Linked DNA regions of Arabidopsis thaliana. The protein of the gene in region 1 interacts with the protein of each later gene in a pairwise test. Each region holds a gene or a part of one and is shown in the gene's direction. Other genes may lie near its edges.

Region 1 (5,222 bases):
AGGTTACACCAAATTGGCAGGGGCTTGAATCGTCTTCTCATTTCGCATAGACTCAAGCTGAGGAACCGAAAAGATTCCAGTCATTGACTTTGAATGTAGAGAGTGATTGTTTAATGATATCACACATTGGCATTTTTCCAGATTGTGAAGCTGGGACAGCTAAACCAGATCCCACAGCATCCGCGCTTTCGCTCAGAGGACTGCACAATAATACGCAAACACCTTAGATGAAAAGACATGTGGTACAACAACAACAACAATAACCATATTTTGATATTCAAGTTCTGTATCAAAACGATGCATATCTATATTCAACTGCTTGCAATATAACTGAGTGACTCAACTTTGTGGGACTTACTTTATCAGGATAGGTTCATAGGCAGTCACTAAGACATCTGTATCAACTCCCTTAAGACGAATATTTGCCACATATACCTGCAGAATCATATAAACCAGTTGGTGTCTCAAGTAACAAACCCCTTTAGAATAAATAGAGAGACAGAACAAGGAGAAGCTTCATACTCTCACTAGGTTTTGTGCTTCTCTTCCCTGTCTTCCTTTGGATATAGCCTGTAATGATCCTTGTTAAGGAGAAAACAAATAGAAAGGAAAATTATGAGCAAAGACATCATATGTTTATGGACATTACCATCTCTCCAATAGCAGTTGTCGCAACAGCAGAGATGTTTCTGAAAGACAGTCCAGGCGCCTCAATGACCTCTGATTGCTCAATCAACTGAAAATTACACAGCAACATTACTAGATTGTCTTCTTCATATATATCATCAATCTTGGTAAAGATTAACCAAAAACACACCAGTATTAGTTCTATTTCGACTAGTTTCAGAGACTGAATCCACAATAACCAAAAAACAGCCTCACTAGTATCATCACAGGCAAAAAGGTTCCAACTTTGGGAAATCTATACACGTTAAACTCTATGTTTGTACTCAAGATACTAGATGTATTCTAGAGAAATAACAACACTAGTTCTTAAAGTTGGTTTGTCTACCATAAGAAGAGTTCTAGTGTAGTAGTGGTATTACCTGAAATCCTTCAGCATCTTGCTCACTCGCAAGATCATTAAGGAACCAAGAGGCACTGCCAATGTCACCAACCTCAGCCTTGAAATCCAACAACTCAAAAATCAAACTCTCATCTCTTGAAGGATCCACAAACACTTCCTGTGAAAACCAAACAATCAAACACAAATACAGAGTAAACTAGAGATTCTTCTACACATGTACTTACAAACAATGCCACTGAGAATAGAACCACCAAACCTGATGATCTGGAACTTGTCGGATATTACTCACATCCTGAAGATTCACAATAAGGAAGAAATGAGGAAACCAGTGAATTTCAATTAAGCAGCGAAAAGGGTTTTATTGAAAGAACCTGAAATCTTTGAGGGAAGACGGTGGAAATAGCGCCACCAAACAAAGGCCTCACCGAACATAACTCAACAGACATGTTTTGCTACATTCAAAAAACAAAATCCTCAAAAAACTAAACTTTGCCAGAAAAAAAAAATGCACTCACAAACATAACAGAATCGATTAGGGATTAAAGAGAAGAGAGAAGAGTACCAAATTGATCGATTGATGTATCTGGGGAAGTAAAAGAGAAGAACAAAAGTAGCAGAGAAATCAAAAAGTTGGAGTTTAGTATTTATATGAAAGTCAGAATCGAAAGAAGCGTTGCTTTGACGTCCCAACAAGTAGCTTTAACTTAACGCAAACAATTAAAAAAACAAACGATTAGCGTTCTTCAATCAACAATGTCTGCACTCTGCAAATTCACGATTGAGAAGAATGAGAATTACCAAGCGACATCGTTTAAATTAATACCGTAGTTTTTTTTAACAAAAGCCCAGGCCCATCTGTTTTATCTAGCCCATTTTAAACAAATAGAGATAATCAAAACCACTGGGATAATAATAAGATTTAATTTTTTTTCTTCCGCTATCATCATCAATCATCATCATCATCGTCTTCAAGACTTCAACCTTCAAATTCTTCATCACAAACCCTAACCTCCAATTTCTGATTCTACGATTGATCTAAGGTTTTAATCAATTCTTCTATCATCATGATTTATTCCTCGAATTTTTTCCGATTTTCCTTTGAACTGATTTTGTGGTCTCTCTTACTTTTTGGTTCAGTTTCATTTTCAACAATGAGTAATCAGAAGAAGAGAAATTTCCAGATTGAAGCGTTTAAGCAACGAGTCGTCGTTGATCCAAAATACGCCGATAAAACTTGGAAGATCCTTGAACATGCGATTCATGAGATTTACAATCACAACGCTAGTGGTCTCAGTTTCGAAGAGCTTTACAGGTACACTTCCATAGATTTCACTTTGATTCATCTCTTGTTGTTGTTGTTCTGCTAAACTTTGGTCGCTTATTTCAGAAACGCATACAACATGGTTCTACATAAGTATGGTGATAAGCTTTATACTGGACTTGTTACCACTATGACATTTCATCTCAAAGAGATATGTAAGTCTATTGAAGAAGCTCAAGGAGGAGCATTTTTAGAATTGCTTAATAGGAAATGGAATGATCATAACAAAGCGTTGCAAATGATTAGGGATATTCTCATGTATATGGATCGTACTTACGTTTCTACTACTAAGAAAACTCATGTTCATGAGCTTGGACTTCATCTCTGGAGAGATAATGTTGTGTATTCGAGTAAGATTCAGACTAGGCTATTGAATACGCTTCTTGATTTAGTTCATAAGGAACGGACTGGTGAAGTTATAGATAGGGTGTTGATGAGGAATGTGATTAAGATGTTTATGGATTTAGGTGAATCTGTTTATCAAGATGATTTTGAGAAGCCGTTTTTGGAAGCTTCTGCTGAGTTTTATAAGGTTGAGTCAATGGAGTTTATTGAGTCTTGTGATTGTGGTGAGTATTTGAAGAAAGCTGAGAAGCCTTTAGTGGAAGAAGTCGAAAGGGTTGTGAATTATTTGGATGCTAAGAGCGAAGCGAAGATTACTAGTGTGGTTGAAAGAGAGATGATTGCTAACCATGTGCAGAGACTAGTTCATATGGAGAATTCAGGTTTGGTTAATATGCTTTTGAATGATAAGTATGAGGATATGGGTAGAATGTATAGTTTGTTCCGTAGGGTTGCTAATGGTCTTGTAACGGTTAGAGATGTTATGACTTTGCATCTTAGGGAAATGGGAAAACAGTTGGTTACTGATCCAGAGAAATCAAAGGATCCGGTTGAATTTGTGCAGCGTCTATTGGATGAGCGGGATAAGTATGACAGAATTATCAACATGGCATTTAACAACGATAAGACGTTCCAGAATGCGCTAAATTCTTCGTTTGAGTATTTCGTCAACTTGAACACACGTTCTCCTGAGTTTATCTCCCTGTTTGTTGATGATAAGCTACGAAAAGGACTAAAAGGTGTGGGAGAGGAGGATGTCGATCTTATTCTTGATAAGGTGATGATGTTGTTTCGCTACTTACAGGAGAAAGACGTTTTTGAGAAATATTACAAACAGCATCTGGCGAAAAGGCTTTTATCTGGAAAAACTGTGTCGGATGATGCAGAGAGGAATCTGATAGTGAAACTGAAGACGGAATGTGGGTATCAATTCACTTCGAAACTTGAAGGTATGTTCACTGACATGAAGACCTCACACGACACGCTGCTAGGATTTTATAATAGCCATCCCGAGCTTTCAGAAGGACCTACACTTGTTGTTCAGGTTCTCACAACCGGTTCTTGGCCCACACAGCCAACCATACAATGTAACCTACCTGCAGAAGTTTCTGTTCTGTGTGAGAAGTTCAGGTCATATTACCTCGGGACTCACACCGGTAGGAGATTGTCTTGGCAAACGAATATGGGAACAGCAGATATCAAAGCAGTGTTTGGAAAGGGTCAGAAGCATGAACTAAACGTTTCGACTTTCCAAATGTGTGTCCTTATGTTGTTCAACAACTCTGATCGACTAAGCTACAAAGAGATCGAACAGGCAACTGAAATCCCCACCCCAGACCTAAAGCGTTGCTTGCAGTCAATGGCGTGTGTAAAAGGTAAAAACGTGCTAAGAAAAGAACCAATGAGCAAGGAGATAGCAGAGGAGGACTGGTTTGTTGTGAACGACAGGTTCGCAAGCAAGTTCTACAAAGTGAAGATAGGAACTGTGGTGGCACAAAAGGAGACAGAACCAGAGAAGCAAGAGACAAGACAGAGAGTAGAAGAAGACAGAAAACCTCAGATCGAAGCAGCCATCGTGAGGATAATGAAGTCTAGACGAGTGTTGGATCACAACAACATAATCGCAGAGGTCACCAAACAGTTGCAGACGCGGTTCTTGGCAAACCCAACAGAGATAAAGAAGAGAATTGAATCACTCATTGAGCGTGATTTCTTGGAGAGGGATAATACAGACCGGAAACTTTACCGCTATCTAGCGTAAAAAAGTCTGGATTGATTACACGGTCCCTCTGTTTATTTCGCATCGTTTCTTCTGTTAGTCAGCATTTCTTATTTGTTCTGTAGTCTGGTAAGTTATAAACATTTTGTTTCCGTTTTGAAAAGAAAATATTGATTTGCCTGTTATTGATCAAACCCATATACATCATCAAAGATATATAACCAGAGCGAGCATTTGCTTAACGGACTAATCTGTGCATCACACAGTTGCTTAACGGATATCTCCAACGTAGCTAAAAAGCTTGGTCTCTCTAATAATAACAATCTTCTCATACGAAAAGCTGCAGAATTTGGCCGTTTATGCGATGTCTAATTCGATTCTTCAATCATCGGAATCGTAAGATAACTCTTTACACTCAATCCAAAATGATACAATCTCCTTCCTTCTTCATTGAAATTGAATTTTTTTTGTATTGACTAATTGAATCACAGGGCGAGATTTGTAAAGCTGTTATATGTCCTGAAATCGCAGCATCTAGGTATAATGGAATGTTAAAGACTTATGTGTGCATTGATTTGGGTGATTGAAGTAGCTTAAGGTAGACAAGCTTAGGTTGATTGAAGTTTGTGGGACATCAGAATCTGAATTTCATTGTGTAAGTAGCACCAGTTTCTCTAACATGCAATTCAATCTTCAAAGTACTGATTTAGGACTGTGTGATCAAACAGGACTTGACCTCCATGATGGACCTTTGCTTTGACTTTTTTCGCGTATCAAAGGAAAAGAAAGATCTTAAGGAAACAAAAGGAAGT
Region 2 (3,968 bases), on another chromosome or scaffold:
CCTGAGGAGTGTTCATATTTTTACAGGGTTATCATTAGGATTTTGCAGCTCTTAGGATCAAATAGACAAAAGATCATCATGTTGTCTACAAAGAGTAGATGGTTGACACTGAGACCGCCTTTTGCCTCTTTGATTCCTGGAAATTTTCCTTATCTTTTGTTAGGCCTAGGTTTGTTTATTCTTTTATCTTACCAAGTTCAATGTTGAAGATCTCATACTCGTTTATACAGAGTAAAGGACTCCTTCATAGAACAGTAGTGATGGCTTTAGTTTGGACCTGTCATTACCATTCACGAAATCTGGTGGATAGACTGATTCGTTTGGTATTCGATGAAAGTATAATCTTGAAATGCTTTAGTTTATCTCTATTTTTACCCTCATTTGGCGTGAGTTTGGTCACGGTATTGGTTTCAAGTTCAAACCTTTGTGACTTCAATCTTATCATGCCTCAAGTTTATTGGGTGGTGCATCTCGACTCTCTCGAACTTTTTGGAAGAAACCGCCATCGCTATTCTTGTCACCTCAACTGTTGCCACCGTCACTACCAAATTTTGAAAAATGTTCAATTATTAAAAACATTTTATTTTATTCTATACTATTTCAACATTTCATTTTTTTTTTGCTAAGAATGTAAATATTTCATATAATGAAAAAGTTTTAGGAATTACATGAAGTAGATCCTATGGTTTGGTCCTATGGCAAAAAAAGGATTAAAAACATGGAAGCAAAAACAATCGGTCCATTGATATCGATAAAAGCAGTGACGCTTTTGAAATCAATGAAGCGATAAAACGAGTCTGAAGTTTTCTAAATTATAACACCTCAAGAAGAAGCATCATGCTGTCAAACGGTAAAGATCGAGTCAAAGAAACTAAAACGAAAGGAAGCCTTTCACTGGTAACCCAAGAACCTGAGCCGTCAACGGTGTTGAAACAAGGAGCAAACAAACACCCACTCCATCTGCGTCATATCAACTCCGAAACGAGGCAGCAAACAAAAGAACACATCAAAAACAAGGCAAGACAACATCAAAGGGGCTTGGACATAAAACGGAGAAGCAGGATTTTAAAGTAAACCGAGAGCAGGATCGATGAAACACGAGAAATGAGAAGACACCTATGCAGTTTAGCCGTAACAAGCTACACGCTTGATCAAAGGAGCCAGACGCTCGAAGCTCCAAACACACACACCCGCAACATTCAGAAAATACGAGAACCAGACGCCAAACCGATATAATCCGAGCAAAATCACCGGATTGAGAGCAGCAAGAGAACCAAGCTCCAAGGAAGCTCTCAGAACTGACGTAAACGCAAAGAGACCTCAACAACCCTCCAAAAATCTACTTTCGTCGTCACGCAAGTTGGATCAGAATGGAAAGATGCAGCACCACTTGCCTCCATGCCGTCAAGCTCCGGCGACCATCACTCACACGCCTGAAGAAACTCGGACCCTGATGCCAAATCGAAGAAGAAAGCTGAGAACCTCAGCAACAGTAAGCCTCATTAAGAGGTAGCCCTTTCGCAGCGCCGGACACTGGAGAGGCAATCGGAAAAGACGATGAAAAGCTTTGGTAAATTTGAGAGAAAAAGTCGTCGCTTAAAGATATATATCATTTTTTAAGTTTAAAATTTATTATACTGTTTTTACATAGAAGTTTAGAATTTAGTATTTTAAAGTTAAAGTTAATTTGCGTAAATTCGTGGAAAATAGTATAATACAACATTATATTCATATAGATTATATGTCGTACAACTTGTTTATAACTATAAACACTATTGACCATTATCTAATTTCATATCTAATTTAAAAAAATTCAAATTATGTTTTACGCAAAATAGATTTAAAATGTTGCATTTAAAAATATATATATATATGCTCAAATTATTAATAATAAGTTAATAAAAAATGGTAATTTTTCCAATCCTCATCTTAGTTTTTCAAATAAAATGCTATATTAGTAATTATGTTTAGTTAATTTGGTTACCACCAAATAGATCCATAATTCCATATCATAAAATTATAACCACAGTGCGGATACGAACTACTCGTGTTAATTACTCCAAAAAAAAAGCAAAATCGCAAGAGAGACCTTAAACGACATCGTTTTCAGATGAGGAGACACCACCACCGATGCCAAATCGGCTCCGATAGCGAAACCGGATCCGAATCCGATTCCGATACCGACACGCCGATGCGATGCATCTCTTGTCGAGAAGAGTACCTCCCTCGCAACGCCGGGACCTGCAAGGAATGCTACGTCGAAGCCGGCGAAACTGAAGAAGAACTCAAACGCGAGATCGATGACCTCAAAGCTAAAGTTGCTTTCCTTCGCTTATCTTCTTCTCTTGATCATGGAACTAGTTCAACCTCTAGATCCTTCACTGATGTTGTTCTCATCGCCTCTGAAGATAACGCCGGATCTCCTCCTATTCCCGCTCATAAATCCGTTCTGGTTCGTTCTCACATCACTAAAACCCTAATTTCTCTGAAATTATTTGATTAATTTGATTTGAAATTTGTAGAATTGACTTGTGATAATCTCTGTTTTTGATGGTTTAGATATGAATCTATTTGATAGATTAGAAATAGAGAGAAAGAGAAAGAAAAAATATTAGGGTTTGTTGTTACTTAGGAACCATTTGGCTAATTTTGAGAGTTAGGGTCTGTTCTTGTGTTCTATGTTTTAGGAAGAAGAGCAGTGTTTTTGTACACTTGTGCTGAAATTGATGATATGTGTGAATATTGCTACCAGGTGAGTCGTTCTCCAGTTTTCAAAGCAATGCTTGAGAATGAAATGGAAGAGAGTCTAAGCGGCACGATCAAGATCAGCGACGTATCTTATGACGCTCTTCGGACTTTCGTATATTATCTCTATACAGCTGAAGCATGTCTTGATGAGCAAATGGCATGTGATCTTTTGGTCATGTCAGAGAAATACCAAGTGAAACATCTCAAGAGTTATTGTGAGAGGTTTTTGGTTACCAAACTCAGTCCGGATAACTCTCTCATGACCTATGCCTTTGCACACCAGCACAACGCGAAACATGTTCTCGATGCTGCGTTGTCGCAGATCGTAGAAAATATGGATAAACTTACTAAAAGAGAGGAATATATGGAGCTCGTGGAGAAGGATCCTCGTCTTATCGTTGAAATTTATGAAGCCTATCTCTCGAAACAGGTTAATACGGCAGCTGGAGGAACTAGTACGAGCAAAACTAGTTGAAATTTTCTTTATTGTCGACCTAAACAAGAGTAGATTCTGGTTTACCTTCATTTCGTTTTTAGGTATAGTATGGTTAGGGTCACCAAAACATGGGGTTTGTGTTTGTGAAGCACTAGAAATCGACCGGAGTTTAGTGTTCGTTGTTAAGAATGTATTTTAGTGGTCACCAGTTTGAAACCATGCTAAAGAAATTAAGAAAAGAAGCCAATGGAGATATTTTCAAATCAAATAAAAGTAGCAAATGAAACGTTTTAACACTTTAAATCAAAGGTAGAGAGGAACAAACAGCTCAAATCTTCCAAACCTGAAAACCTAAACCGCTAACTAAAAACTTTAATCAACAACCCTCTGTTTTGTTCCCACTCGCCTTCCCCTCTGCCGATATATAGAGTTCGGAGGTTAACTTGGTCAGACGGTGTAGAATCATCTGCCTTCCAAGCTTCCAATCATCAATCTTATGTTTGTCGCCTTCTGCTCGCACCTCTGCTTCGAGCCCACCGGTTCCTTATGATCATACCGCGAATTCCCCGGCTTGAGATGGCAGCCGAACGCGGTTGAAGACGGCCCAGGTCGAATGCTCCAAGCTCGAATACCCCACCTTCCATTTCGTCATCCGACGAATCACTGTAATCGTCACTGTCATCTTGATGATCATAACCATTGTATGGCTCAATCACATAGTCTCCAAATACCATAGCCCCAGGTGTTGACGACATGACTGTGCTGATTACATCACTCCTCTCCC

What was found.
Region 2: the proteins of CUL3B (region 1) and AT4G08455 interact in a two-hybrid assay, tested with the Arabidopsis thaliana proteins (one study listed by BioGRID).

The regions. Positions count from the first base shown.
Region 1 is NC_003070.9:26,201,399-26,206,620, reverse strand, and holds CUL3B (cullin 3B), read left to right. Parts: upstream 1-1,825; 5' UTR 1,826-2,067; intron 2,068-2,164; 5' UTR 2,165-2,178; coding exon 2,179-2,339; intron 2,340-2,414; coding exon 2,415-4,452; 3' UTR 4,453-4,635; downstream 4,636-5,222. Other genes in the region: AT1G69680 (ran guanine nucleotide release factor, putative (Mog1/PsbP/DUF1795-like photosystem II reaction center PsbP family protein)), read right to left, coding at 53-200, 359-435, 523-570, 650-736, 1,047-1,184, 1,284-1,319, 1,399-1,473. UniProt on the Arabidopsis thaliana protein: Component of the cullin-RING ubiquitin ligases (CRL), or CUL3-RBX1-BTB protein E3 ligase complexes which mediate the ubiquitination and subsequent proteasomal degradation of target proteins.
Region 2 is NC_003075.7:5,373,700-5,377,667, forward strand, and holds AT4G08455 (BTB/POZ domain-containing protein), read left to right. Parts: upstream 1-2,014; 5' UTR 2,015-2,110; coding exon 2,111-2,452; intron 2,453-2,752; coding exon 2,753-3,223; downstream 3,224-3,968. Other genes in the region: AT4G08460 (hypothetical protein (DUF1644)), read right to left, coding at 3,679-3,968.